Oryctolagus cuniculus: one gene and its partners. The protein of the gene in region 1 interacts with the protein of each later gene in a pairwise test. Links are inferred from orthologs where the notes say so. Each region holds a gene or a part of one and is shown in the gene's direction. Other genes may lie near its edges. The genes, in order: NFE2L2, WW domain-containing adapter protein with coiled-coil, MAFF, MAFG, MAFK, ATF4 and TNNT1.

Evidence for each region.
Region 2: the proteins of NFE2L2 (region 1) and WW domain-containing adapter protein with coiled-coil interact in a two-hybrid assay, tested with the Homo sapiens proteins (2 studies listed by BioGRID and IntAct). The two-hybrid records come from large-scale screens. The link is inferred for Oryctolagus cuniculus from reciprocal best matches to the Homo sapiens genes NFE2L2 and WAC.
Region 3: the proteins of NFE2L2 (region 1) and MAFF interact in binary tests that used the Homo sapiens proteins (3 or more experiments, as listed by UniProt). The link is inferred for Oryctolagus cuniculus from reciprocal best matches to the Homo sapiens genes NFE2L2 and MAFF.
Region 4: the proteins of NFE2L2 (region 1) and MAFG interact in binary tests that used the Homo sapiens proteins (3 or more experiments, as listed by UniProt). The link is inferred for Oryctolagus cuniculus from reciprocal best matches to the Homo sapiens genes NFE2L2 and MAFG.
Region 5: the proteins of NFE2L2 (region 1) and MAFK interact in binary tests that used the Homo sapiens proteins (3 or more experiments, as listed by UniProt). The link is inferred for Oryctolagus cuniculus from reciprocal best matches to the Homo sapiens genes NFE2L2 and MAFK.
Region 6: the proteins of NFE2L2 (region 1) and ATF4 interact in binary tests that used the Homo sapiens proteins (3 or more experiments, as listed by UniProt). The link is inferred for Oryctolagus cuniculus from reciprocal best matches to the Homo sapiens genes NFE2L2 and ATF4.
Region 7: the proteins of NFE2L2 (region 1) and TNNT1 interact in binary tests that used the Homo sapiens proteins (3 or more experiments, as listed by UniProt). The two-hybrid records come from large-scale screens. The link is inferred for Oryctolagus cuniculus from reciprocal best matches to the Homo sapiens genes NFE2L2 and TNNT1.

The regions. Positions count from the first base shown.
Region 1 is NC_091434.1:63,900,451-63,903,950, forward strand, and holds part of NFE2L2 (nuclear factor erythroid 2-related factor 2), read left to right. Parts: intron 1-692; coding exon 693-959; intron 960-1,536; coding exon 1,537-1,626; intron 1,627-2,240; coding exon 2,241-2,432; intron 2,433-2,846; coding exon 2,847-3,500.
Region 2 is NC_091444.1:99,039,024-99,042,523, reverse strand, and holds part of WW domain-containing adapter protein with coiled-coil, read left to right. Parts: intron 1-1,867; coding exon 1,868-1,990; intron 1,991-3,066; coding exon 3,067-3,215; intron 3,216-3,500.
Region 3 is NC_091442.1:114,968,797-114,973,048, forward strand, and holds the start of MAFF (transcription factor MafF), read left to right. Parts: upstream 1-1,452; 5' UTR 1,453-1,619; coding exon 1,620-1,705; intron 1,706-4,252. UniProt on the Homo sapiens protein: Since they lack a putative transactivation domain, the small Mafs behave as transcriptional repressors when they dimerize among themselves.
Region 4 is NC_091448.1:998,383-1,002,676, forward strand, and holds the start of MAFG (transcription factor MafG), read left to right. Parts: upstream 1-1,494; 5' UTR 1,495-1,692; intron 1,693-1,769; exon of another isoform or gene 1,770-2,014; intron 2,015-2,144; exon of another isoform or gene 2,145-2,609; intron 2,610-4,294. UniProt on the Homo sapiens protein: Since they lack a putative transactivation domain, the small Mafs behave as transcriptional repressors when they dimerize among themselves.
Region 5 is NC_091450.1:36,677,886-36,682,009, forward strand, and holds the start of MAFK (transcription factor MafK), read left to right. Parts: upstream 1-1,324; 5' UTR 1,325-1,520; intron 1,521-1,704; exon of another isoform or gene 1,705-2,042; intron 2,043-4,124. UniProt on the Homo sapiens protein: Since they lack a putative transactivation domain, the small Mafs behave as transcriptional repressors when they dimerize among themselves.
Region 6 is NC_091442.1:115,755,002-115,758,635, forward strand, and holds ATF4 (cyclic AMP-dependent transcription factor ATF-4), read left to right. Parts: upstream 1-1,214; 5' UTR 1,215-1,418; intron 1,419-1,866; 5' UTR 1,867-1,967; coding exon 1,968-2,184; intron 2,185-2,273; coding exon 2,274-3,082; 3' UTR 3,083-3,134; downstream 3,135-3,634. UniProt on the Homo sapiens protein: Transcription factor that binds the cAMP response element (CRE) (consensus: 5'-GTGACGT[AC][AG]-3') and displays two biological functions, as regulator of metabolic and redox processes under normal cellular conditions, and as master transcription factor during integrated stress response (ISR).
Region 7 is NC_091449.1:3,704,975-3,709,263, forward strand, and holds the start of TNNT1 (troponin T, slow skeletal muscle), read left to right. Parts: upstream 1-1,489; 5' UTR 1,490-1,794; exon of another isoform or gene 1,795-1,886; intron 1,887-3,207; exon of another isoform or gene 3,208-3,624; intron 3,625-3,685; exon of another isoform or gene 3,686-3,991; 5' UTR 3,992-4,002; coding exon 4,003-4,034; coding exon of another isoform or gene 4,035-4,038; exon of another isoform or gene 4,039-4,044; coding exon of another isoform or gene 4,045-4,070; exon of another isoform or gene 4,071-4,081; intron 4,082-4,114; coding exon 4,115-4,128; intron 4,129-4,289. Other genes in the region: TNNI3 (troponin I, cardiac muscle), read left to right, coding at 809-892. UniProt on the Homo sapiens protein: Troponin T is the tropomyosin-binding subunit of troponin, the thin filament regulatory complex which confers calcium-sensitivity to striated muscle actomyosin ATPase activity.

The DNA.
Region 1 (3,500 bases):
TTTCTCAAGGAGCCCTGGTGGATACTCAGTACCCCTTTCCAGTGTTTTGGTAGCCCTTCTGTTTGCCATCTTATTTGTGCCTCAGGAACAAAAACTAGGTCAAAAGGAAACTTTTAATAAGTGAGCCACAGAGAAGAGTAGCAAGAATGGTGCAGAGAAGATAATCAGTCCAGTGTGGGGGATGCCGAAGAGTTTTCATAGTTCATGATTGCTGGATTCTCTCTCTCTCTCCCCCGTCTCTCTCTCTCCCACACACACACATCTTGTAAACTGGGTATTTGCTGAGCAGCTTTCAAGAAGACTCCATGTATTCAGTCATGTTTTCTAAACCCTGTTTCTCATAATAAGCCAGTGACTTGGAGTGGTTGCTTTAGTTTCTATATTCTGTAAAACAAGTATGAGATTCTTTGAATTCAAACACATTAATAGGCAACATTTGTAACTGCCCTTTAGTGATCTCCGCCATCTGCCAGAGCACATTGTGATTACAATGGATGACTGTATGTTTGCAGGTTGTTTTTAATGAGCAATTTCTTCGAATGAAATGAACAGTGCTCTTCTACAACACTGCATCTGTGTGCTTATTCAGAGTTCATTTGTAATCTCCCCCACCATCAACAATGGCAGAACGTGGATTTATTTAGGTGGACCATCTTAACCATGATCTCTCTCCTTTTTTGTTTTAAACATAGGACATGGATTTGATTGACATACTTTGGAGGCAAGATATAGATCTTGGGGTAAGTCGAGACGTATTTGACTTCAGTCAGCGACAGAAGGAGTATGAGCTGGAAAAACAGAAACAACTTGAAAAGGAAAGACAAGAACAACTCCAAAAGGAGCAAGAGAAAGCCTTTTTCGCTCAGTTACAACTAGATGAAGAGACAGGTGAAATCCTCCCAATTCAGCCAGCCCAACACATCCAGTCAGAAACCAGTGGATCTGCCAACTACTCCCAGGTACAGAGTACTCAGGTCTTGGGAAAGTCTATGGCAAGGCTTAAGGAAATATTGACCAAGGAATTAAAGTATTCTTCAGTTCATTTTGGCTTTTACTGTGTCTGTCTTCATAACCCTGTCAGCCTCCCGAAGAGTGCAGTACCTGACACACTTCCCTTACAGGGTTATTACATGAAAAGAACTTTGTAAATGATAGAAATGTCCTGTTAGGACCAAACAGATGGAACAGAACTAGGTGGCAGGGATTACTTACGGTCCTGTGGCTGCTCTAAAACCATACATTAACTGATGATCCACACAACTAAATGGATTAAGTGTCATATCCACATTTTATCTACTGAAGAGCAGTGAAGCTGAAAAAGGCAAAATAGTTTGCCGAGACCACTCATGAAATCAGGGTAGCTAAGATTTGATCCTAGGTAATCTGGTTCAAGTCTGTGTACCAAAGTGATTTTTAAAGTAAAAGTTACTTAACTACATTATAAACATTCTGTGAACATCAGTTACGAACCTGAAATCATCATTATTGAGCTTGACAATGGAACATTTAACGATGTTTTTCTTCCTTTTGGTCCAGGTTGCCCACATTCCCAAACCAGATGCTCTGTACTTTGATGACTGCATGCAGCTTTTGGCAGAGACATTCCCATTTGTAGATGACAATGAGGTATACAAATTTGGATAATAGCAGAACTCCCTAACTACACCGAACATAACCTGTATAAATCCTTTATTGTGTTTCCATTTAAAAGAAAATTTAAAATATTAGGAAATTTCTAATCAAGGAAATATGCTGTCAGGTAAACCTCAGCAGATAGGTATTAAAAAAAAATCATACAATACAAAACCAAAAACCTTTACTTCTGTATATCCAGTAATATCAGTCAGCACAACTATGGAGCAACTTATTTGCTATAAATATTTATAAATTTTTTGGGTGAGTGAAGAGCAAGCTGGGGAATAAACAAGACTTGTTCAGTTTGCAATTTCCGTAAGTCTGTTGTGTTTGAAGTATTGCACTAGATATTAGATAGGTCCAAATTAAATCCTAACGCAGTTCTTACCCATTTTGATGTTTACCTTCAAATGCATAGGATTAAAAAAAGCCAGAAAAGAATAAATTTGGTGTCAGTTGGGTAGGAAAAAATACTTGTTCTGTAGAAATAGGGGTCATAACTGGTCAGTGAGTGGAGAAATATAAGGTGTTGTGATAGTGCCTTGGAGCTTACTCATCTCCCATTGATGGCAGACTCATGGAGATAAATACCTTGTCAATTTTAGGTTTCTTCAGCTACGTTTCAGTCACTTGTTCCTGATACTCCCAGCCACGTCGAGAGCCCAGTCTTCACTGCACCTAATCAGGCTCAGACACCTGAAACTTCTTTTGTTCAGGTAGCTGTTGCTGATTTAAACAATATGGAACAGAACATTGAGCAAATTTGGGAGGAATTATTATCCATTCCAGAATTACAGGTAACTGAGATCTAACGTAGTACTGGACATGCTATTTTATATTCAACACCTTTGCATTAGTCATCATGATAATTTGTAATTTACATGTCACCTACTTAAAGGAAGGATTGGAGAGTCCTTTGAAATTACTCATAAAAGCTACCCATGCTCACTTAAGATGTACTTTGTTGTTAAATAGGCTGGATAGCTTAAGGACAGAACATTGTAAATCTGAAGTCTGATCTAGAACTCTGAAAATTGTATGCAATGGTGTCACTATCTAGTAAAAATGGGAATTATCTTTGAATCACAGAACACTTTGGAGACGATGAGGATAGGGAGTGAGTTTACCTAACTCAATCATCAGTCCTGGATTACCAGCTATTAAAGGTACTTAATCTTGATTTACATCATATAAACTTCTTTCCCATGCAGTGTCTTAATATTGAAAAGGACAAGCTGGTTGAGACTACCACGGTTCCAAGTGCAGAAGTCAAACTGACAGAAGTTGACAACAATTATCATTTCTACTCGTCGGCTCCCTCACTGGAAAAAGAAGATAACTGCAGTGCGCATTTTCTTAGTGCTTTTGAGGATTCTTTCGGCAGCATCCTCTCCGCAGATGACCCCGCCCAGCTGAGCGTGAACTCAAATGCCACATTAAACACAGATTTTGGTGATGAATTTTATGCTGCCTTCATAGCTGAACCCAGTGTCAGCAACAGCATGTCCTCTGCTCCCATCAGCCAGTCACTCTCTGAACTTCTAAATGGGCCTATTGATGTTTCTGACCTATCCCTTTGTAAAGCTTTTAACCAGAACCACCCTGAAAGCACAGAATTCGCCGACTCTGACTCTGGCATTTCACTGAACACAAGTCCCAGCATGGCATCACCAGAACACTCAGTGGAATCTTCTGTCTGTGGAGACACACCACTTGGCTTCAGTGATTCTGAAATGGAAGAACTAGACAGTACCCATGGGGTTGTCAAACAGAATGCTTCTAAAACACAGCCAATACATTCTTCTGGGGATACAGTACAACCCCTGTCACCATCTGGGGGGTACAGTGCTCCAGTGCACAATGCC
Region 2 (3,500 bases), on another chromosome or scaffold:
AAATACTAGGAAATGAGGAGCTCAGGTAGTTATATAAAATACTTGAAGCATTTTCTGAGAAAGGGGTAGGTACTAGATAAAATTTTGCCATTTTTCCTGATTAATTACAATGTTTAGTTCTGGCCTCTTAAGTATCAAAAGTACATGGTTTCCTAAGTACCATCTTTTTTCTGCTCACTCTTAATTAAAAGGTTGTTGGAATGGATATAGCTGAAGGGTTTGAGTGGCTGCTTTTCTAAAAAAAAAAAAAAAATCATGAAATAACAGCCATTTATCTGGTTAATCTTATATACTGCCCTGTGCACTTCCCATAAAATTGGCTAGGTTTCTGGGATAACCCACAGTTCTGAGAACACGCTCTAGTGTTTTCTAAAAAGTCTCACAGAGAGGAGTTTTAATAGTAGATCTTAATTTAACTTTATTGTAAACTCACTCAGTTTCTATCTACCTCAGATTATTTTTAATCTTTTTCAATATTTTTAAGAGATTTAGTTATTTGAAAGGCATAGTGACACAGAGAGGGATCATCCATTCTCTGATTTACTTCCTATGCAGCCATGGTAGGTAGCCAATGCCTGAGCCAGGCTGATGCTAGGAGCCAGAAACTCTAGCCTAGTATCCCACATGGAGGGCAGGGGCTCAACTACTTGAGCTGTCACTGCTGCCTTCCTGGGCACATTAGCAGGAAGCCGGATCAGAAGTGGAACAGGCAGCATTTTTTTTTTAAGATTTATTTATTTATTTGAAAGAGTTCTACAAAGAGAGAAGGGGATGCAGAGAGGTCATCCATCTGCTGGTTCACTCCCCAATTGGCCACAACGGTTGGAGCTGCACCGATCTGAAGCCAGGAGCGTCTTCTGGGTCTCCCACGTGGGTACAGGGCCCCAAGTCCTTGGGCCATCTTCCACTGCTTTCCCAGGCCATAGCAGAGAGCTGGATGGGAAGTGGAGCAGCCAGGACATGAACCAGTGCCCATATGGGATGCCAGCACTGGAGGCAGCGGCTTTACTCGCTATGCCACAGCACCGGCCCCCATCTTAAATCCTTACACCCATTATATTCCATCTTCTAGGTTTTTGTTCTTTGTTGTTTATCTTGGTTCTTTTTTATTATTTTTTACTTATTTATTTGACAGGTAGATTTATAGACGGAGAGAGAGAGACAGAGAAAGGTCTTCCTTCCGTTGGTTCATTCTCCAAATGGCCCCTATGGCCGGTGCTGTGCCGATCCGAAGCCAGGAGCCAGGTGCTTCCTCCTGGTCTCCCATGCGGGTGCAGGGGCCCAGGCACTTGGGCCATCCTCCACTGCCCTCCCGGGCCACAGCAGAGAGCTGGACTGGAAGAGGAGCAACCGGAACTAGAACCCAGCACCCATATGGGATGCCGGCGCCACAAGGCGGAGGATTAACCAAGTGAGCCACGGCGCTGACCCCTGTTTCTCTTGTTTTAAAGATTCATTTATTTGAAAGGTAGAGTTAACCAAGAAAGATCCTCCACTCCCGAGTGACCACAGTATCTGAGGTTAGGCCAAGCTGCTCTAGGAACTTGGAACTCAATCTGTGTCTCCCACAGGCCCCAACACTTAGACTGTCTTCTGCTACTTTCCCAGGCCCATTAGCAGGGAACTGGTTAGAAGAAGAACAGCTGGGACTGGAATCGGCTCCTGTATAGGACACTGGCATTGCAGGCAATGGCCTGACCCACTATACCCCAGTGCACGCCATCACCCATTTTCTAGATTTTTATTTCAAGAGTTCCAGTTGTAAGTGCTTCAGCTGTTTTCCCAGTCCTGTTCAAGTTTCCAGGTTGTTATTAATGCTTTGTAGGCCTCTGTGCTTCTGTTTGAATTTAGGAAATAATGTTTTTAGTTCTTACAGCAGCTGTGACCCAGGCTTCACTGCAGTCCATAATTCATAAGTTTCTTACTGCTGGACCGTCTGCTTTCAACATAACCTCTCTGATCTCTCAAGCTGCACAACTCTCAACACAAGGTATCCATATTCTTAGAAATGTCTACAATTGTCTGGACTTTTATCAGCACTTCTTAAAAACTTCTTTAAAGATTAGCTATCTTTATTTTAGCTGGTTTTGGTAACACTAGCATTACAGTAGTATATGTATTTCCCTTTTTTAATGTTTTTAGATGATGCTTTGGAATTTATCTTAAGGTATTACTGTAAATCTGTAATGTAGTGTGATTTAAGTTGCTAATAAAAAGAGTTTTACTCCAAAGCTGAAGGTAAACTGCGATGTGCCCTCAATCTTCAGAAAGCATTGTTACATATTTGAAGAGCTGAAGTTTGGGCATGTTGATGTTAGATGATTCTAAATACAGACACACACACACACACACACACTATATTTGACAGGGAGAGACAAAGAGATCTTCTGTTCAGTGGTTTACTCTCTAACTGGCTGCAACAGCTGGGACTGGGCCAGGCCAAAGCCAGGAGCCTGGAACTCCATCCAGGTCTCAGATGTAGGGGTCAGGAACCTGGTGTTTGGGCCATCTTCTGCCACCCCCCAGGACCGTTAGCAGGGAGGTATATCAGAAGCATAGGAGCTAGGAGCTGAACCAGGCTTGCCCAGCTGGGATCTGGTGTCTCAAGCAACAATTTGCATAATGCCTGTCCTGATGTCAGGTGACTTTTGGCTACATAATATGGAAACAACCCAGTTCTTGCCTTGAGCTAGTGGTCCCTCTTCAAGTAGAGTAGCACAAAGGCTCTTGAAGTCCTTTGACTAGGCTGTGTGGCAGGAGACTGAGCACAGGACAGTGCCCGAGCCTCAGCGAAGCAATGAGGGGCTGAGGGGCTGCTGTGTGAGGTTAGGCTCAGGCTCAACTCCTTGCTGTGGCCTTGGAGTCCTGTGCTGGGTGTGCTGAGCTCTGACACAGAGCTCCTTTAGTCAGTGAGTCCACATGGGATGTCGGTTTCTGACTTGGTTGGGTAAGTGTTCTTTGGGGGACCTAGGATTGTGGGGGGTGTGTAGAGTGATGCAGAGAACTTCACCACATACTACAAGAGTTCTTGGTTTATTTAAAATCGGTTACATCGCTCTTTCACAGCCCAGCCATCTAATCAGTCTCCAATGTCTTTAACGTCTGATGCGTCATCCCCAAGATCATATGTGTCTCCAAGAATAAGCACACCTCAGACTAACACAGTCCCTATCAAGCCTTTGATTAGTACTCCTCCTGTTTCATCACAGCCAAAGGTATGTCACTTCTGAGGGAAATTCGCAAAAGTTCCAAGTTAACAACTGTTAATTTTTGAGTAACCTTATTATTTGTCTGCATTTTGATGAGGGAGCAACCAAAATGTGAGTTTCAGCAAACAGATCTTATTCTAGAGCTTAGAAGTTATCTTCAGTCTGTTTAAAAATAGTGCCTAAAAGTGAAATGCATGCTAATATTAGTTTTCTAGTCCCCGAGAAAATCACTGCATCAGATCCCTTAAGCAATGGCGGTCAGTTCTTCACTTTCAAAGTTCCTTCTCAAGT
Region 3 (4,252 bases), on another chromosome or scaffold:
AGGTGGAGGCGGCTGTGGTCCTGGGCCATCCGAAAGGAGAAGTGGTCTCTGGCTGTGCAAGCGCAGAAGGGGCTAGGAGTTTGTGTTGTCACGCCCCCGCCTCCAGGAATCCTGCACTGATTTCCTTACCCTCCTCCCAGGCCTTCCTCCGCTGGTGGTCTTGGTGCTCCGAGGATACCACTAGCTTGGAGGCCATTACTGTGGGAACGGGACCTCAGGCTGAGGGGCGGTCGGCATGCCGGGGAGGGGAGGCCGGGATGTGAGTGGGGGGCAGAGCCCGGGCTGGAGCCACCCGCCGTCACTTCCCTGCTGTGCTTGGTTCCCCCTGCCCTGCTCCCCTTCCAGCAGGGAGGAGTGCCCCCAGCGCCAGCTGCCAAGACCCAGGAAAACACATTTTTTCCCTGTGTCCTCACAGCGCGCAAGCGGAATGGCTCGGCAGCCAGGAGGAGCCGTGCCAGTGGGTGGGCCGTCTCCAGGCTGTCTCTGGGGTGGGCCTGGGGGCCGGGGACGGGGCTGCGCGCGAGAGCCGCTGGCTGCTGATTGGGCGAGGCCTCTGTCAGTCCCCAAGAGAAAGCTCACTCCCCAGGCCTCCAAAGAAGGTTAGGAACCTGCAGACCCTGGGAGGGGTTCTGCCGGCCTCCGAGGGAAGAGAAGAGGCCAGGAAGGGAGGCCCTGAGAGAGCGCTGGCCGGGGTGGGAGCAGGCCCCGGGGCGCCAGTCCCCCACTGCCACCCGCAGCCACCCGGCCGAGGCCGGCTCTGCTGCTGTGCAAGCCCCAGGCCGGCAGGGCCGGAAGCCCCAGGCTCCAGGGCTCCCAGCACAGCGCGGCAGCCTGTGGGACTTTCCCTCTGTGACTTTCCCTCCGTGACATCCCCTGGGCACGGGGGCCTGCGGGAGCCGACGGGCTGGAGGGGAGTGCGGAGGACTTCCTGGGGTCCGTGTCCCAGCCAGCCCCAGCAGCGAGAGGGGCAGGCAGGGCTGTGTTGAGAAGGACTCAGAGGCTCTGTGTCACTTCCTGGGAGTACGTGTGGGCTTGATGAGCCATGAGTGGGCAGGGGCGGGGGAGAGGGGTGTGGTGGGCGAGCCAGCCACTCGCGGCTCCTGAGCGTGTGGCCCCTGCCAGTGTCTCCGCGCTGTGCCTATCATCAGGGATCACCCCATCATCAGGGGTCCCCTCGCGGCCGGCCCCTCTGTGCAGCCGGATGCGGGTGTCCTGGCAGGCCCCGCCCAAAGCCTGGCCCCTCGAAGCCCGGCAGTGGGCACCAGGGTGGCCTCCGTCCTGAACCTCACATGAACCCCGTCCTGAACTCCACCCCGTGCTGGCTGTGTGGCCCAGGGGGCTGCCAGGCATCAAGTCACAGTCGTCAGAGGAGCCGGCACTCAGTCCAGGCCTCACAGGTGCCCACGGGACTTCAGGCAAGCGATGGCCTCTCTGGGTCTCCGCCGCCCCCTGGGGGAGTGAGGAGGTGGGGCCTAGGGCTGTAAGGGCCGTCCCTGGGCTGGCCCCGGGCAGCTGGGAGCTGCTGAGGCAGAGCGCTGCCAGGGCTGGCTGTGGCCCCGGCTCCGGCAGCTCGGATTCTCGCTTTCCTGCCCTCCCGGGCGCTGGCTGACCGCCACTGCATGCACCCCTCCGCTCCACCAGAACCTGCCAGGCAGGTACCGCGCAGAGGAGAGTGGACACCCGGAGAGGTGGAGTCTCGGCCAAGGTCAGGTGGCCTGGAGAAGACGGACAGGGCGTGCCCCCACTCAGTGCTCTTTCCGTCTCCCACTCCCCACCTTGCTCCCTTGCCGTGCCCCGCCCCCCGCCCCACCCGTGTGCCGTCTCTACCCCTCGGAAGGGACACAGATGGGAAGGAGGAGGAACTGGGGGCTGGCCTGAGGTTTTCTCGCAGACTGTGTCTGGCCAGGCCTGGACGCTGACCAGCTGGGTGACGGTGTCAGTGACTCCGCCCAGCCAGCCATCCTGGTTCAGCCCCTGGAGCTCCCTGCCTGGTGGAGAGACAAGGAAACAGCCCATGGCTGTGTGGTGGGGAGAGGGGGGTGGAGGTGGGGGGTGGTGCCTAACAAGGCCTAAAGGTCAGGGAGGGCTTCCTGGAGGAGGAGGAGGAGGAGGGCACAAGGATGAAGAGGAGCCTGCCCGACAGAGGAGGGGGGGGGGAGTGCCCGGGTGGGGTCAGAGGAAGACATCCACATGGCTGGGGTGCACAGTTGAGGCTGTGCACTAGCCTGGGGATGGGCCGGCCTCTGGCCTCAGGACAGTGGGAGCCACAGCAGGTTCTAGTCTGGTGGTGGCACAGGAGGGTTCACAGGGCAGGAAGCTCCCTGGGGCACTATGTGGCAGGGCCGTGTGTGGCTCTGACGGGCAGGGTGGCGGAGGGCGGGGTCTGGACATGTCAGTGACTGGTCAGGGCAGTGTGGGGTCCATATGATTGGGCCAGGCAGGAGGGATAGTGAGGGGGCAGGCATGGAGGCCTCCAGAGACAGCTTGCTGGGCAAGCCAGGCCCGAGCCCACAGGGACTGGAGGGGCTAGGCAGGGAAACTGAGGCCCGGGCCCAGGCGGAGCCCACTTGTTCAGCAGTGAGGGCTACAGCTCAGAGCTCCACCAGGAAGCAGGCCTTCCCCACCGGGGAGCCGCACAGGACACCACGGCTGCTGAGCGCTGGCCTGGGACCCTGGGCCTCGCCCCTCCTGGCCACCACACGGGAAGTCCCTAGAGCCCGCTGGCCTGAGATCCCTGTGGGTGCCAGCTTCCCGCCCCTGAACCGCTCCTCCTTTCCCTGGAGCTGCTGGACCCCCTGGCCGTGTGGGCGGGGAGGGGCTGGCAGGCCCCTGCCCCAAGCCCCGGGAGGCAGCTGTGGGCCACAGGACCTCCATTCCACAGACGCAACACGCAGGAGGATCGGTCATCAGCGACGCCCACGGTGCTCTAGAGAAACCCGAGGCTGGGGAGGGAGACAGGCTGTGTGTGTGCACGCGCCGTGGGCACCAGTGGCTGGGAACATGGGATCTGAAGCAAGCTCCGTGGCTGTCCCGGGAGCAGGCATGCCGGGCGGAGGGAGCTCCCTGGTCCCTTGGAGGAGCAGCCAGTGCTGGGGCGCACCGCTGCGGCCGTGGAGACCACTGGGATGGGCGCCGTGGAGGCTGCTGGGAGAGGACAGCTGCCCTGATGGACGTGCCGCCCTGGGTCACACGCGGGGCGGCACGTGGTGCAGAGAGCTCTGCGGGCCGCCCTCCACAAGCCCCGGCGTGTGCGGGCCAGGGCCTGTTGCTCTTGCATTCCTCCAGGGTCCCCAGCACACATGCGGGTCCTGCCGGCCGTGTCAGGGAGCCAGGGCCTGTCCCCGGCCCTTCACGCCCTGCCTCCAGCTCCTGGGGTCTTGTAATGACAGCGTCTAGGACGCCGGGCTTCCAGTCACCAGGCAGCTTCCTGGTGTTCTCCCACTCCTCACGGGGGTTGGCCCAGGAGCGCGCTCGGGTCACACCGCAGGAGGCCTGGTCACCAGGCAGGGACAGGGTAGCTGCTTTCAAGGGGCCTTGGGAGGCCTTGCCTGTCCCAGAGCAGTGACCGCTGACCCCGGCAGGTGCCGTCCTCGAGTGTTTATAAACCTCTGCGCCCCCAGTGCCAGGTGCACGCCTGGGCAAACAGCTGCTGCCACACCTGGGGCCCCGCTGCCTGGGGCCCTGCTGGGCCACGCCCCCTGTGCTTGGGGAGGGCTGGGGACTGGCCCCGCGCTGTGTCCATGGGGTGCTGGGGACATTGTGAAGTCCTTGGCTATACGTGTGTTATGTGTACTTCTCTGTATGTAGGTTATACTTGAAGGAAAACTTTTTTTTTTAATTTATTTATTTGAAAGAGTCACACAGAGAGCCAAGGAAAGGCAGAGAGGCAGAGAGGCAGAGAGGGAGAGAGGGAGAGAGGGAGAGAGGTCTTCCATCTGCTGGTTCACTCCCCAGTTGACTGCAACAGCGGAGCTGTGCCGATCTGAAGCCAGGAGCCAGGAGCTTCCTCCAGGTCTCCCACGCGGGTGCAGGGGCCCAAGGACTTGGGCCATCTTCCACTGCTTTCCCAGGCCATAGCAGAGAGCTGGATCGGAAGTGGAGCAGCCGGGACTTGAACCTGCGCCCATGTGGGATGCTGGCACTGCAGGTGACAGCTTTACCGGCTACGCCACAGCGCTGGCCCCGGAGAACTTGCAGAAATCAAGTCAGATCACAGCTGGGCCGGGGCAGGAGTGCCCACTTGTGAGCTGTG
Region 4 (4,294 bases), on another chromosome or scaffold:
TCTGCCTGTCAGACAGCTTTCAACAACAGCAATTCAGCCTCATCTGCCGTGGCCCAAACGCTGCTGCCCCCGTATTTCAGGGACAAGTGTCCAGGACCCTGTGTGGGGAGTCTGCCAGGGGGTTCTGGGACAGATGAGAGGACGTGCGTGGCTGGGCCCCCTGGGCCCTGGAGCTGCACCGGAGTCAGGTCCCGGCTGCCTGGGCCATTCCAGTGACAGGACACGAGCCCCCCACCCAGCACCGCACAGGACAGCTGGACCCCTGCACCCGAAGAGCTGCCCCCTCACAGGACAGAGCGTGGGCACCTGCCCCTCTCTTGTCTGCTCTCAGAACTGACCCCAGGGCCCAGGGCTTCTCTCTCTATAGGAAGCAGTCCCAGTACCTACGGCCCCCACTGGCCTCGCCCGTGGCCCCGGGTGGCCACACCCATGCCTGCCTGTTGCGGCTGCTGAGTGGGGGTGGGTGTGTGGGGGTGGGGAGTGGACGGACGTCCATCAGCAAAACTGAGTGGGAGATGAGATGAGTTTCCCAGGCATCTCCCACGCACTGGACGGCGGCAGGGGAGGGCGAGCTGCCTGGGTGGTCAGCAGTGATGGCCCCCGGCCCCAGGACCAGGCGTCCTGGTCCAGCGTCTCCCAGCACAGAGGAGCGAGGGCACACCCGGCTCTCCGTCACGACTAGCCCCCTGCCCTCGACCTCGGGCCTCAGACCAGCGGCCACGGAGCTCCGATTCCCACCGCGAACCCGGCTCAGGGCTGCCCCGCCCCCCGGAGCCTGGACCCAGCGTCCAGGAGGGGTGAGGAGCAAGCTCTGAGACCAGGGACGCACTCGTGGGGTGAGTCGCTGCGTTTTCTACGGAAAAACCCGAGGCTTTACAAGTCGCGCCGTCCCGCGTGGACACCCCACCCCGCCAGGAACCCCGCGCAGCCCCGCACAGCAGCTCCAGGTCCTCCTGTGGGCCCCTCCGCGGCGCCCTCACCTCCTCACCTGCCTGGCTGTGCACCTGAGCAGGGAACAGGGCCGAGAGCGCGCCCCCACCCCGCCGCGCGGCGACTTCCTGGGGGAACGATCGGCGGCGGGGGCGGACGCGGACCCGGGGGCCGGCTTCAGACAGGTGCCGGCGGCCCGGGGGACGGCCCGCGCCGTCCACTCCTGGCGGGCGCACCGCGGGGCCGGGACCTGGGCCCTGCACCCCCGGGGTCGGTCTGCACCCGGACCTCGGACTAGGGCCTCCCGCGCGCTCGCACCGCGCCGCGGCGGGGGCGTGGTCCGGCCAGGGCGCGCGCCCGGACAGTCCCGCGAGCCCCCGACGCGGCCCGGGCGCGGCGCGCGTTGCCAGGGGCGACGGCGCCCGGGCTGCGCAGGCGCAGGGCGACGCGCCCCGCCGCCGCCGCCGCCGCCGCCGCGCCTTCCCCTTTAAGCTCCGGCCGGCCGCGTCGCCGCTTCATGAATGGAGCCCACGTGACCAAACATCATGTGACGTCTGTGGAGCGGCGGCGGCGGCGGCGGCGGCGGATCCCGAGCCTGGTCCGGCCCGGCCTTCGCAGAGCGCTCGGCCCGGCGCGCGAGGCGGCGAGACCCCCCCCGAGCCACGGGCCCGGACCCCCGGCGCCCGCCCCAGCTCCGCGCGGCCTCGGAGCGCGCGCGGCTCCGCCCCGGCCCCGGCCTCGGCCCGCCGGGCCCGCAGTGTGGTGAGTGTGGCGGGCCGGGCGGCGGGGGCGGCGGCGGGGCCCGCGCCGGGGCGGGGCCGTGGCCTGGGCGCGCCGCGCGCCCTCCGGCGGGCCGGGCCTCGCCTTCCCCTGCCGTCGGGAGCCGGGCTGCGGCCCCGGCCGCGGGTGCCCGGGCGCACCGCCGGCGGCGCGGCGGCGCGGCGGCGCGGGCGGGGCGTGCGCGGAGCCCGCTCGGCGGAGGCCGGGACGTCCCGGGGCGAGGCGCGGCGGCGGCCGGGGGGAGGGCGGGGCCGGGCGCGGCCGGGGGCGCGGGGGCGCGGGGGCGCGGCCGCCGGCTCCTCAGGTGTGTGGCGGCCGCTGGCGGCGCGCGGGGCCCCGGCGGCCGGGCGGGGGCGGCGGGAAGACCCTGCCCGCGGGCCCGGGCTCGGCTCGCGTGCCAGCGCCGCGACCTGCTGAGTCATCAGCATGAGGTCACTCGGAGCTGCTGCTGGCGCGGGGACTGGGCGCGGGGCCTCGGGACTGGAGGGGCCGGCCCGTGGCGGGGGAGGCACACGTGAGGATGAGCGCGAGGCCGGCGTGGCCAGGCGGAGGCCGAGGCCGCGTTGCGGGCTTCCTGCGGGGCAGAAGTCGAGCCCCTGGCGAGATCGGCCCTGGGCCCACGTTCGGGGCAGTCCCCCAAACTGATAAACAGCTGGGGGTGACGGGAGGGGAGGGGTCTGGTGGGCCGAGCTGGCGGCTGGAAGCCCCTGGATGGGCAGCCCCTGGCGTCAGAAGAAAGAGGAGTGAGCGTGGGGCCGCAGGGGCGGCGGCGGGCAGGGAGCAGGCAGCAGGACTTCGCAGGGCAGCCAGCGCGCTGTCGCGGCCGGGTCCGCTGGCCCTGGGCTGGGGCGAGGCTGCACGCGACAGGAGCTCAGGATGCGTCCTTTGGGGTGCAGCAGGTGGGTTAGTGTGGACGCACAGGCGGGAGAATCGGGTCCCAGACACCCAGGGGTTGTCCCCGGCGAGGAGGGGTCCCAGCATGGAGTGTGCTGAGCCAGTGTGGTGTCTCCGCTGTCTGGACCGGCGGCTAAGAGGCCAAAGGGTGGTGTGGCCGCGGTGGGGGCTGGGGGCCAGGGAGGTGGACAGAGCTCACCTTCCCACTGCTTCCCTTGCCCTGGGTTCGTGGCCGTCGCGTGGTCGCACCCAGACACCGCGCAGCTTCCTCGGGGCTTCTCCGGCACGGGTGCTCTGGCGTGAATGGAGCCGCAGGACTCGGGTCGGGGTCGCAGAGCGTCGGGCGGCCTGCCTGGGACTTGTGGCCGCTGGGGTGTGCCGGGCAAGGGTGCCCAGGGGAGCTGGTCCTGGAGGAAGGGCCGGAGCTGCCCTTTCCTCTCCTAGCTCTCAGCTGAGTGGGTGGCCCAGGGTCCCCCGTGGGTCAGGCAGCAGGGGACAGCGGCTCTAGCTCTGAGCAGCCCTCAGGACGGAGAGGATGGGCTGGGGGGGCTTCCACTCAGTGCAGCCTCCGGGACCCCCCCTCTGGCTGGGACAGGTGCCCCGAGCCAGCCTTCTCCGCCATCCCCAGGGGCCGCCTCTGCCCGGAAGGCTGGAAGCGCCGGCTTTGCCGAGGCCCTCCCCCACGGCGTGGGTGCCTGCACACGCACACGCACACGCACACGCACACGCGTGCACACCTTTGATCGGAAGGCGCCTGGCTGCACTGTGCTGAGCTCAGGCCTTCTGCAGAGGGCGGAATCTGTTGAGGAGGCACTTTTCCCAGCCCAGCGCCGCGCTCGGCACTTTTCTGTGTGGTCCCCTCAGGAAGCCACCGCTGTCATTGTGCGGTCGTGGGGGGAGGGACACCCCCGTGCCCAGGCAGCAGTGAGGGCCCGTCTCCTGGTGGGCCGGGGCCGGCTTGCGGGCCTCCTGACCTCCAGCTGTGGGCACCCCATCCCCATCCTTCTTGGGGTCCCGCCTCCTGGCTCGGCCCCACCCTGCCTCCTGGCTGCAGCCTGCCTCCTGGCCAGGCCTGGCTCCTGTGGGGTCTCCACCCTGGGAACATGGGCCGCCTGGCCAGCCACACTGTGGTTCCCCGGGTGGGTGAGCCGGCCAGGAGACTGTGGCCTTTCTCCCCGTCCACCTGTTTACCTGCCTGCATCTAACCTGCAGAGCAGTGGGAGGGGCGGGCTCCGGGAGGGGTTCCTGGGGTGGGAGCTTCAGGTTCCTGGCAGGGGTTCAGAGAGCGGACAGTGCAGGGTGGTGCTCGAGGGGCAGCTGGCGGGGGAGCGGTCTGGGCACTGGGCTGTGGGTGCAGGCCCAGGCAGGGGACCACAGAGCAGTCAGTGACTGCCACCTGCCTGTCAGTGAGCAGGCCCCGGGGCCCTTGTGAAACACCCTGGCCAGGGTGGGGCAGGGGCGCAGGAAGCTGCAACCCAAAGCCACACGGTGGTTACTCCACGGGCCGGGAGGCGGCCAGAGCGGGCTGGAGGGGCCCTCGGGCCAGGCTCTCAGTCGGGTTGCCTGCTGCTTCCAAGGTGTGGGGCTCCCCAGCTCTTCCCGCCATGGGAGCCGGGGCCAGCTAGATGACTCGCTCCCAGCTGGAGGGCCCCGGGAAACTGGGAGACCCCTCACCCTGCTGTCTGCCCCA
Region 5 (4,124 bases), on another chromosome or scaffold:
TCCACTCCCTGGCTCTCCGGGCCAAGGGGTCTCAGGACCACCCCTCTCCAAGCGCAAACCTGGGCCTCTCGCTGGCTTCCAGGTGAGGGACAAAAGCAGGCAGAGCGGCCCCGGCCCCTCCCAAACCCCGGCAAGACCCCGGGCTGCGGCTGCTTCCTGGCAAACGGAGAGCAGGGCACGAGGCCAGGCCGGACACCTGCCCGCCTGAGAGGAGGCACCTGCCGTGGCCTGGGGAGCAGGCAATGGCGCAGGGGCAGTGAGGGCGTCCGGTCAGCTCCCCCATGTCTGCAGCGGCCAGGGCTGACCGGAGCGGGGGCCGGTATCGGAACCCGGCGACCCCACACCCAGGCTCAGGAGGCCTCACTCCCTCCTGCTCTCGTCCAGCTGCCCGTGCAGCCCGCAGAGACCGGCCTGCCAGACCCGGGGCACTCAAGCACCAGTGTGCCCATGGGAAGCATGGCGGCCTGGTCACCTCCGGCACGCAGGGGTGTTCCACTCGGTCCCCTCTCCACCAGCCCTGGCCCCCCTCACCGGGGGGAGCTGGTTCTCAGAGCGGGCAGGCCCCCTGGCCATGGCAGCTGCTGAAGCCCCCGGCCCAGGGCCACCCCCACCTGCGGATTGCTGTACTCACGGGATCTGGGGACCAGGGCCACCCCGACCTCACCTGGTGCCTACCTCGCGAGGGCCTACATGGGGTCTGTGCCCCCAGCTGCCCCCTCCGCCTAGGGCCGCGTCCATGGAGGAAAGCTGGTCCTCCCGACCCTGTGCTGCGGCCCGCGGGGGGTCGTCCGGCCTCTATACCTGTGCTGTGGAGTGGCAGCTGTGACCCTGCGCTCGCCCCAGCGCACCTGGGACCCAGCAGGGACCCCCTGCAGCGAACAGGTGGGCGGCGGGGGCTCCCCGCAGGTGTGACCTGAGGCACAGACCGCACGCGGGGCATGCGGAATATGGGGTGCGGGACGCCATCGTCGTTCAGGGTCTCCCCCCGCACCCCGACTCTGCAGAGGAAGGAGCGCAGGTGCCCCGCTCAGGTGCGCGCCACAGGAGCAGCCGGGGGCGGGGCCGAGGAGGGGGCGGGGCCGGGAGGGAAGGTCGCTTTCTGGGGGTGTGGCCGTCCGGGGGCGGGGCCTGCGGGCCGGGGCGGGGCCGGCGAGGGCGGGGCCTGGAGACGCGAGCGTGGGAGGAAAGGGTCGCGGTCTGGGGGCGGGGCCGTGATGGGACTCGTCGTCCGCGCACCACGGGGCGGGGCCGGCGAGGGGGCGGGGCCGGCCGGGGGCGGGGCCTGCGGGTGGGGCGGGGCCGCGGCGTGACGCGCGCCGACGCGATCCCGGAAGCGGTGTCAGATGCTGGGAGCCGGCGGCGCGCGGGCGGCGGGCGCGGGGGGGGAACTTGTTGTTCTTCGCGAAGTCGGAGCCCGAGCGCGAGGCGGCGGCGGCCGAGGGGGAGCACGGGAGTGAGCGCGAGCGCGAAGAGAGCGCGTGCCCGCGAGGAGCCGCCGCGCGCCCGCCCGCGCGAGCCAGGTGAGCGCGGCGGGCGCGGGGCGCGGGGCCCGTGGGGGGCGGGGGGCGCTCGGAGCCACGCGGCCGCGGAGTCACGGCTGCCGGGGCCCGCGCGCCCGCCCGGGCCCGGCGCTGAGAGCCGGGGGCGCGGACCCAGGCCCGGCCGGGGCCCTAGCACCTGCGGGGCGGGACGGCGGCGCGCGGGGCCGCCACGTGCGGGTGCGGGGCCGCGACCGCGTGGTCCGGGGGCGGCAGGTGTCTGCCGTCGCGGAGCGGGGCCAGGCGCGCCTCGCCCTCGCCACGTGCCCCGGCAGACTCGGACCCGAGCTCCGGCAAGTGTCTGGCCCCGACAGGACACGGTAAGTCCTGGTCAGGTGCGGCGGCGCCCGGGAGCTCTTACATAGGTGTCGGCCCGGCCGGTGGGTGGGGTCTGGGGGCCGCGCAGGTGGGCGGGACGCACCTGCGGGGCACGGCTCGGGGGAGGACCTCCTGGTGGGAATGCCCGAGGGGGCCTGCCCCGAGGACCCGGCCCGCAGTAGAACGGTCAGTAAGGCAGTCCCGGGGGCCAGGATCCCAGGGAGCGGCCCCGGTGAGGCCGCGGGCGCCCGGGACGGCGGGAGTCGGTTTACAGCCTGGGGCGAAGCTGTCGCCGCGGACCCAGAAGAAGCCGTGCCTGTTGGCGGCCCGGCGGCTCCGGGTCTAAAGGTTCCTGGAGTGGACTTTCTGGGTTCCGGGTGCAGTCCGCACGGGAAGTGGCGATCGGGCCAGCTGGGAGCGCTCTCCCGGGCAGTAAACAGTGACTCACGCGCTCCGCCCGCCTGGATGGGAGGCGCCGCTCCCGCACGCACGCACGGGGGGCTGCGAGCCGGCCTCCGTTTCCTCTTTCTGAGCTGCAGGAAGCGGGAAGTTATCTGACAGTGCAGGGCAGGTGGGGGTGGGGGTGGGGGTGGGGGTGGGGGTGGGGCGCCACCCCGGGCCGCGGGGTCCCCTCGCCCCCTGCCAGGCTCGCCCGCCTGTTCTCGCCGCCGGCTCAGCTCCGTGGGGTCTTGGGGGAGAGCAGGTGCCTCCCACGAGGAAGGTAGTGGGGAGAACCTTCTGGAAGAAGCAGCGTTGGGGGAGGGCTGGTGCCCGGTGCACCTGGGAGCTGTCAGGAGGGACCCACCCACGTGCAGCTCAGGGCTGGGGCTGAGCGGGGCAGCTGCCCCTTGGGGGCGAGGTCACGGAGTCTGGGTCAGCACACAGACAGGGGAGAGCCCGGGGTCAGGCTGAGGGCGAGGCTGTGCGGTGCAGCGGGTGCCCTGGGGTGGGGTGCCCTTACGCGAGCTGCACACAGGTGAGGGAGGCGGGCCGGGGCTGTGTGTGCTTTCCCAGGGCGCGTCCCCGGCTGACCACGGAGCTTGGGGCCTTGCTGAAGCGCCTGGGTGGCCAGCAGAGGGCCGGCTCCGTGAGCGGGGCTGTGTCAGCCTCATCCCCACGCACCTCTGCATGTAGCAGCTTCCTCAGCCCAGATCAAGGCGACTGGACATCCTACAGGTCCGGGGCTGCCGGCTGGGGGCACTGCGGGCACCTGCCCGCCGAGGGGCCGTGTCCCGGCCAGGCTGGGGTGCTGGGGGGGTACAGTGGGCACCTCCCACCTGCCCACAGAGGGGCCGTGTCCCGGCCAGGCTGGGGTGCTGGGGGAGTACGGTGGGCACCTCCCACCTGCCCACAGAGGGGCCGTGTCCCGGCCAGGCTGGGGTGCTGGGGGGGTACAGTGGGCACCTCCCACCCACCCACAGAGGGGCCATGTCCAGGGCCGTGCTGGGGGGCACCATGGACACATCCCACCTGCTCATAGAGGGGCCGTGGCCAGGGCCAGGCTGGGGGGCACCATGGACACATCCCACCTGCCCACAGAGGGGCCATGTCCAGGGCCAGGCTGGGGGGCACCATGGACACATCCCACCTGCCCACAGAGGGGCCGTGGCCAGGGCCAGGCTGGGAGACACCATGGACACATCCCACCTGCCCACAGAGGGGCCGTGGCCAGGGCCAGGCTGGGTGCTGGGGGGCACCGTGGACACATCCCACCCGCAGAGGGCCATGCTGGGGGGCACCGTGGACACATCCCGCCCGCAGAGGGCCGTGTCCAGGGCAGGGGCAGCGGGTGTCTCTGCGGTGGGGCCTCGTCTTCAGTGGGGTGCGAGTCAGCGTGTCTGTGGCCCCAGCTGCGGCTGCGATTGGCTGACGTGTTTACTTGACAAGTGTGTGTGGCCCCAGCTTCCGCGCCGGGGCGGCCACATCCTCCGTGTGTGGATTTGCATCTGTCACGGTTGCTGCCTGGGTCTTGACTGCCGCTCCCGGTCCCGCCTCCTCGCCCCCCACTGGACGCCCGCGGGCAGGACGGGGCAGGTGGGACCGGGCGTGGGTCGCAGCCCCGGACCAGAGCCAGAGCTTCGGCAGCAGGCAGGAGAGGGCGTAGCCGGTCACTGACGAGGGAGGCTTGGAGCCCTGTGCGGCTCGGGGACTCCGGGGGCCTGAGTGCTGGCCTCTGCGGAGCGGGTCCCTGCCCCCAGGAGCCCCCGGCCGCATCACTGTCCCTGCACTTGCCCGGCCTCTCTGCCGCGGCCCCGGGCGGGCGCCGGC
Region 6 (3,634 bases), on another chromosome or scaffold:
CAGCAGGGAGCGGGCGGGACTCCCGGGATGGATGCGGGGTCGCGGTGGCGGCGCGGGAGTCCCACCCCCACCGCCTTCCTCCTGACCCCCGGGCAGAGTGCCGCGCCCTAGGCCTCGGCCGCCGGTCAGTTCCGGGAGGAGCCCCCTGAGGAAGCAGAGTGACCCCACAGGGGTAGCCGGGAGTGGGGACCCCGAGTTAGCGTGGCGGGAGCGCGTCCCGCGCGCGGGCCGGGCCCCAGCACGGCCAGTGTCCGCCAACAGACGGGGGCGCCGGGGCTGCCCGTGCACCCTGGGAAGGGTGGCCCTGGCCCCAGGGCAGGTTGTCTGTCCAGCCAGCAGCGCTCGCGGAAGGGACGCGGGAGTGGAGCTCTGCGGGCCGGGGCCCGGCTCCCCGGGAACTCCTGTCCCCCGCAGGGCCACCGGGCCTTGTCCGGAGCTCGTGGGAACCACCCGGGGTCGCAGCGGGGCTGAGCCTGCAGAGGCCAGAGGCGTCCCCGCAGCGACGCCCTGCAGCAGAAAGGGCGCCGCGGACACGCAGGCTGGCCAGCGGCTCGCGGAGGTCAGCGGGAGGACGCAGAGCCGGCCCCGGACGGCGGCAGGCTCCCCGGCCCCGAGGCCCGGGCCCGCTCGCGGCGGGCTCGCTCGGAGGCCGCTGGGCGCTGATTTCTACCGCTGCGGCCGCCGAGGCTACAACCAAAGGCACGGCTGCACGCCAGGCCGCTCCCGCCCTTTCCCGCGCAGACCCGGGCCCCTTCGCCGAGTGGCCCGCCCCCCTCGGGCCCTGAGCCAATAGGAGCTCAAGGTATATATGACTCCTCAGGCCTGAGCCAATCATCTCGACGCGCGCTCCCCGCCAGCGTCTCGCGCGATAGCCGGGCGGCCTCGGCCTTCACAATAAAAAGCCTCCTTGGAATGAAAGGCTCTTCACGCCCCGCCCCTGAGAGAGATCCCTCCGCGCATCCGGGCATCCGAGGGGGAAAGGACGAGACTCTTTGATCTTGGACGCCTTGTAAAGTAGTGCGCCTTTTTCCCGACGTGAGATCTTGAAAGTAAACTACTTTTCTGTACATGGCTACGCCTCGGACATAAAAGCTCGGGGGAGGAAAGTGGTGGGGACGCCGGGGAGTGGGCAGGAGGCGCGGGTCACATGGCCGCGGCGGAAGGATGCGTCCTGTGATGCGGCTCGGAGGCGACCAAGTCTATAAAAGCCCGGCGGGCCGCGCGCCGCCGCCATTACCGCTGCGCCCGCCCGTCGATGTAGATCTCTTGCGAGCCGTGCCCTTCCTCCTCCCGTCCCGCAGGGCCGCGGCCACCATGGCGTATTAGAGGCAGCAGTGCCTGCGGCAGCGTTGGCCTTTGCAGCGGCGGCAGCAGCACCAGGCTCTGCAGCGGCAACCCCCAGCGGCTTAAGCCATGGCGTGAGTACCGGGCCGGGCGAGGGGGCCGGGGCCCGGCGTCTGCGGGCCCTGGGCCTGGGCCTGGGCTTGGGCGCGGCCTGCGGCCGGGGGTCGGGGCCGCGTCGCCGAGGCGGAAGCGGTTTTACGAGCGCCGGGGACGCGTGGTTCCTGCTTGCGTGTCCTTGGGCGGGGTCGGGAGAGCGCGGCCCGGCGCCCGCGTCCCCGGGGAGGTGGGGGCGCGCTGTCCTCGGAGCCCCGGCCCCCGCTCTGCGCCGGCGGGGGTCGCGGTGGCCGCCCCGCGAAACGTGGCGGCGGCCAAGATGGCGGCGGGAGGCGGCGCGGGGTGAGTCACGGGGCGGGGCCGGGCGGGCGGGCCGGGCGCCGGCCCCGGCGGGGGCGGCCATGGCCGCTGTGCACCTGCCGCCCGGCCGGCCCCCGCCCTGATGGCGCCCCTGCCGCTCGCCCGCAGGCTCCTCACGGCACCCAGCAGCAGCGTTGCTGTCACGGACAGAGACACCTTCGAGCTGAGCCCCTGCCCCGGTTCCAGCGCAGCCCCGCGACACGGCCGACATGAGCTTCCTGCACAGCGCGGGGTTGGCGGGGGACTTGGCGTCCCCCTTCGACCAGGCGGCTTTGGGGGCTGAGGAGGGCCTGGGGCTCCTGGACGACTACCTGGAGGTGGCCACGCCCTGGAAGCCTCCCGGGCCCCCCGGCGACAAGGCTGCGGCGGGCTCCTCGGAATGGCTGGCGGCGGACGGGCTGCTGGGCGCCCCCGCCGACGGCAAGGGTGAGCGCCGCGGGGGGTGGGGGTGGGAGGGGGCGCCCGTGTCGGGGGGGGGGCGCCGGCCTCACGCGCCCTCGCTCGCGCCCCCGCAGAGGACGCCTTCTCCGGGACGGACTGGATGTTGGAGAAAGTGGACCTCAAGGAGTTCGACTTCGACGCCCTGCTGAGCTTGGACGACCTGGAGGCCGTGCCCGACGAGCTGCTGGCCACGCTGGACGACTCGTGCGACCTCTTCGCCCCCCTGGCCCTGGACGCGCTCAAGGAGCCGCCCCAGGCAGGGAGCCCGCTCGGCCCCCTCCCCGCGAGCCTGCCGCAGGTCGCCCCCTGCACCTTCCTGCAGCCCCTGCCCCTGTCGCTGGGGGTCGCGGCCGCCTCCCCGGATGAGTCGTTCAGCTTGGAGCTGGGCAGCGAGGTGGACATCGCGGACGGGGACCGGAAGCCCGAGTCGCCCGGCCTGGGCCCCGTGGTCCCGCAGGGCGTCAAGGAGGAGGACAGCCCCTCCGACAACGACAGCGGCGTCTGCATGAGCCCCGAGTCCTGCCCGGGCTCCCCGCAGCGCAGCCCCTCCGCCCCCACCCCCAGGGGCTCCCCGCACAGGGGCCCCCCCGCCCCGGCCCGCCCCAAGCCCTACGAGCCTGCGGCGGCCGCGGCGGCGCGCGTGAAGGGCGAGAAGCTGGAGAAGAAGCTCAAGAAGATGGAGCAGAACAAGACGGCCGCCACGCGCTACCGGCAGAAGAAGCGGGCGGAGCAGGAGGCGCTGGCGGGCGAGTGCCGGGGGCTGGAGGAGCGCAACGCGGCCCTGCGGGAGAGGGCCGACGGCCTGGCCAAGGAGATCCAGTACCTCAAGGACCTGCTGGAGGAGGTGCGGGCGGCCCGCGGCAGGAGGAGGGTCCCCGCCTAGGGCGCACGCACAGGAGGCTCCGCTGTTAATAAATTATTTTGTAGTGAAAGCATTCCTGGGAGTTGTCCTGTGGCTCACACCCTCTGGGCGTGGTGGGGCGGGCAACAAGAGTCCCACGCGGGATGGTGGGATCTGGTCTGGGGCGGGCACTCACTCCATGAGTGGCTGCAACTTCCTTGTTCGGTGTTCCTGTGTGTGTGTGTGGGGGTGGTCACTGGCTCCAGCCTGCACACACACAGATCATGGGAGAGCTGTCTATTCGAAGGCAGAGTTGGAGACGGTCCTCCATCTGCTGGCTCACACACCCAATGGCCACGGCAGCCAGGGCTGGGCTGCAGCAGAAGCCTGGAGCTGACAGATGCAGGGGCCCAAGCACTCACCACAGCAGAGAGCTGCAGCAGCTGGGATTCGAACTGGCACCCACATGGGGTTCTGGCACTGCAGGCTGCTTCACCTGCTATGCCCCAGCACTGGCCCTGAGCTGGGGGGCCAGACCCCGCTGTTCTGGGCCAGCCGTTAGGGACAGCCACAGTCTGGGACCGGGACCCATTG
Region 7 (4,289 bases), on another chromosome or scaffold:
AGAGTAGGTAGGGAGGACAGGAAGTGCATGAGGGAGAGAGAAGGATGCTGGGAGGAGACAAAGGAAGGGGGACAGGAAGTGCATGACAGACAGGAAGTGATGAGGAGACAGGAAGTGATGGGGGAGACACACAGGAAGTGCATGAGGGGACACAGACAGGAAGTGCATGAGGGGGACAGGAAGTGCATGACAGACAGGAAGTGATGAGGAGACAGGAAGTGATGGGGGAGACACGCAGGAAGTGCATGAGGGGACAGACAGGAAGTGCATGAGGGGGACAGGAAGTGCATGACAGAGACAGGAAGTACATGAGGAGGAGAGGGGGACAGGAAGTGATGAGGGGACAGGAAGTGCATGAGGAGGGCACACAGGAAGTGCATGATACAGGAAGTGCATTGGGGACAGGAAGTGCATAATGGACATAGGAAGTGATGAGGGGACAGGAAGTGCAGGAGGGGGACAGGAAGTGCATGAGGAGGATACACAGGAAGTGCATGAGGGAACAGGAAGTGCATGAGGGGACAGACAGGAAATGCATGAGGGGTCAGACAGGAAGTGCATGAGGGGACAGGCAGTGCATGACACAGGAAGTACATAAGGGGTCAGACAGGAAGTGCATGAGGGGAGGCAGGAAGTGCATGAGGGGACAGACATGAAGTGCATGACACAGGAAGTGTGTGACTGGGACAAGAGGCAGTTAAGAGAACTCGGCCGACTGTAGGGGACAGGCAGCGTGGAGCGGTCCTGCCCGCAGCGGCTTAGGGAGAGGGGACCAGGAGGAGACCCTAACCTCTGACCGCACCCCCAGGAGAACCGGGAGGTGGGAGACTGGCGCAAGAACATCGACCTGCTGAGCGGCATGGAGGGTCGCAAGAAGAAGTTCGAGGGCTGAGCCCCGCACGGCCCGGCCCGCCCTGCTGAATAAAGCTGCTCCGAACTGCAGTGGCCGCGTCCTGGTGTGCTGGACACTGGGGGGAACGGGGGCGGGGCCGCCCTGCGCCTCCGACAGGGGCGCTCATGGCTGCACGTGGGGTGCACGCAGAGGCCAAGGACAAGGCCGACGGGGAGCACCCACGGAGACGCCCACGGGAGAGGGACTGAGCCAAAGACGCAAAGGAGGAGAGAGAGAGACGGAAGACAGCGGGCACAGACTCCCAGGGAACCTGTGACCGACAGGAGCTAGAAAGACACACGAGGACATGGACAGCCACAGACTCGCCCAGGGACCCCGAGCACCAGACAGAGGCCCGCCCGGAAGTGCCATCGACAGGACACACACCCAGGGGCCAGAGGGGGACAAGGACAGAGCCCTGGGAGACCCTGAGAAGGGCAGCCAGGTCCCCGGGGGGAGGAAGCCTGCTGTCCAGGGCTCTCTCAAGGTCATGGCTGGACTGGGGGGAGGGCTTGCCAGCCTCATTGTCACCCCATCCTCTCCCCCCCCCCACACCTGCCTCCCGGTTTTAGAGCCTTTTGTCACCAGAGCGGAATCCTGGTGGCAGACAAAGGGGTGGGGGCGGGGACAGGGACACACACAGGACAGACAGAGGCTCAGAGACCACCCATGGGGAGGCCTGGGCCCTGGAGCAGCCAGGAGATGCCTGGACCCTGACTCTGGAGCCAGAAGGGGCTGGGCCTCCTCTGAGCTCAGGAATTCCCCCCCACCCCGCGCCCCAGGGGCGGGGCTCAGCCTGCAGCTATAAACCCCTATAAACGCGGGGTGCGTCAGAGCCCTCAGCGAGGCCAGGCCAGGCAAGGCTCAGCCTGCGGATCCAGCGTCTGCATCCCCAGCCTTAGGTAACGGGGCTCTGCCGTCCCCACGGAGTGCCCTGGACGGAGCGCGAGAGCTGGGGTCTGGGAGGAGCAGGCTCAGAGCACAGGGCGCCTGGGTGCCGAATGCGGGGTGTCTTCCGGAGTCTGCAGGGACCTCAGGAGGGGTGTTCTGGGCTCGGCTGTCAGATAGTCTGAGTGGCAGGTTTGGGGGTCTCCAGCTCTGGGGGTATCAGGACCGGGGAGGGGTCTGAGTGTGGGATTTTGGGAATCGGGTCTCAGCATTTGTAGCGCCATAGCTCGGGGTGTGGTGCTGAGCCCTGAGCTTGGGCCCCAGGGTGCCCATCCTGACGGTGTGGGGCCGTGGGGTAGCCGGGCCCACAAGTGGGTTATCCAGGGGGTGGGACTGGAAGGGCTCTGAGCCTGGGCCAGGAGGGTCTCAGGGACGCGGGGTGTGCGTGTGTGTGTGTGTGTGTAGGGTCTCAGGGACGCGGGGTGTGTGTGTGTGTGTGTGGTGTGGAGGGTCTCAGGGACGCGGGGTGTGTGTGTGTGTAGTTTCAGGGACACGGTGTGTGTGTGTGTGTGCATGTGTGTGTGTGGAGGGTCTCAGGGACACGGGGTGTGTGTGTGTGTGTGTGTGTGTGTAGGGTCTCAGGGACGCGGGGTGTGTGTGTGTGTGGTGTGAAGGGTCTCAGGGACGCGGGGTGTGTGTGTGTGTGTGTGGTGTGGAGGGTCTCAGGGACGCGGGGTGTGTGTGTGTGTGTGTGTGTGTGGTGTGGAGGGTCTCAGGGACGCGGGGTGTGTGTGTGTGTGTGTGTGTGGTGTGGAGGGTCTCAGGGACGCGGGGTGTGTGTGTGTGTGGTGTGGAGGGTCTCAGGGACGCGGGGTGTGTGTGTGTGTGTGTGGTGTGAAGGGTCTCAGGGACGCGGGGTGTGTGTGTGTGTGTGTGGTGTGGAGGGTCTCAGGGACGCGGGGTGTGTGTGTGTGTGTGTGTGTGTAGGGTCTCAGGGACGCGGGGTGTGTGTGTGTGTGTGTGTGGTGTGGAGGGTCTCAGGGACGCGGTGTGTGTGTGTGTGTGTGTGTGTGTGTGGAGGGTCTCAGGGACGCGGGGTGTGTGTGTGTGTGTGTGTGGTGTGGAGGGTCTCAGGGACACGGGGTGTGTGTGTGTGTGTGTGTAGTCTCAGGGACGCGGTGTGTGTGTGTGTGTGTGTGTGTGTGCATGTGGAGGTGAGTGGAGGAGACAGGTGGTGACTCATTGTCCCAGAAGGCCCCCCCAGTCCTTCTTAGGAAATGTCCTCTGTGGACATCCCCCCAAAATAGCTGCCGGGGTGGGGCTGCTATTGTCTGCAGGCCCTGTCTCAGATCCCCTCCTAATCCAGGGGGATCAGGTTCCTGTCCTCAGACAAAGGGGACAGCTGTGCTGGGGGGCGGGGGCTGCCGCTCTGCCAGGCCCACAGCTCCAGGCCCTGCTGTCCCCAGCGCTTAGGCTCTGGGGGCCAGGCCCTCCTCCCTCTGACATGGGGGTCCCCCAGCTCCCTCCTCCCTCAGACATGGGGGTACCCCCAGCCCTCCTCCCTCAGACACGGGGGTCCCCCCTGTTCCCTCCTCCTTCAGACACGGGGGTCCCCCAGCCCTCCTCCTTCAGACACAGGGATCCCCCCAGGCCCCTCCTCCCTCAGACATGGGGGTCCCCCAGAAACTCCTCCCTCAGACACAGGGGTTCCCCCAGGCCCTCCTCCCTCAGACATGGGAGTCCCCCAGCCCTCCTCCCTCAGACACGGGGGTCCCCCCAGGCCCTCCTCCCTCAGACATGGGAGTCCCCCAGCCCTCCTCCCTCAGACACGGGGGTCCCCCCAGGCCCTCCTCCCTCAGACATGGAGTCCCCCAGCCCTCCTCCCTGACACGGGGGTCCCCCCAGGCCCTCCTCCATTAGACATGGGAGTCCCCCAGCCCTCCTCCCTCAGACCAGGGGTCCACGCCCCTCCCTCCTCCCTCAGACCCAGGGATCCCCCCCAGTCCGGTCCTCCTCCCTCAAACACGGGGATCCCCCAGCCCTCTACCCTCAGACACAGGAGTGCCCCAGGCCCTCCTCCCTAAGACCCGGGGGCCCCAGGCCTTCTCCCTCAGACCCAGGGGTGCAGGCCCCACCTCCTCCCTCAGAACCAGGGGTCCCTGGGCCTCCCCCTTCAGACCCCACAGCCGTCACCTCTTCTCTCTGGCGCAGGTCACAGCAGGATGTCGGACACCGAGGAGCAGGAATATGAGGAGTGAGTGACAATGGCAGGAGGGAGGGGCTTGGAGAAGCCCCCTCCCCGCCCCAGACTCTCTGACCCCCATCTCTCCCCAGGGAGCAGCCAGAGGGTGCGCAGAGAGGAAGCCGCCCGGGGACAGAGCCGCTGGCCCACCCCAGCCATCGCCCATCACCCACCCCAGCCATCGTCCACCCCAGCCATCGCCCATCACCCACCCCAGCCATCGCCCATCATCCACCCCAGCCATCGCCCATCATCCACCCCAGCCAT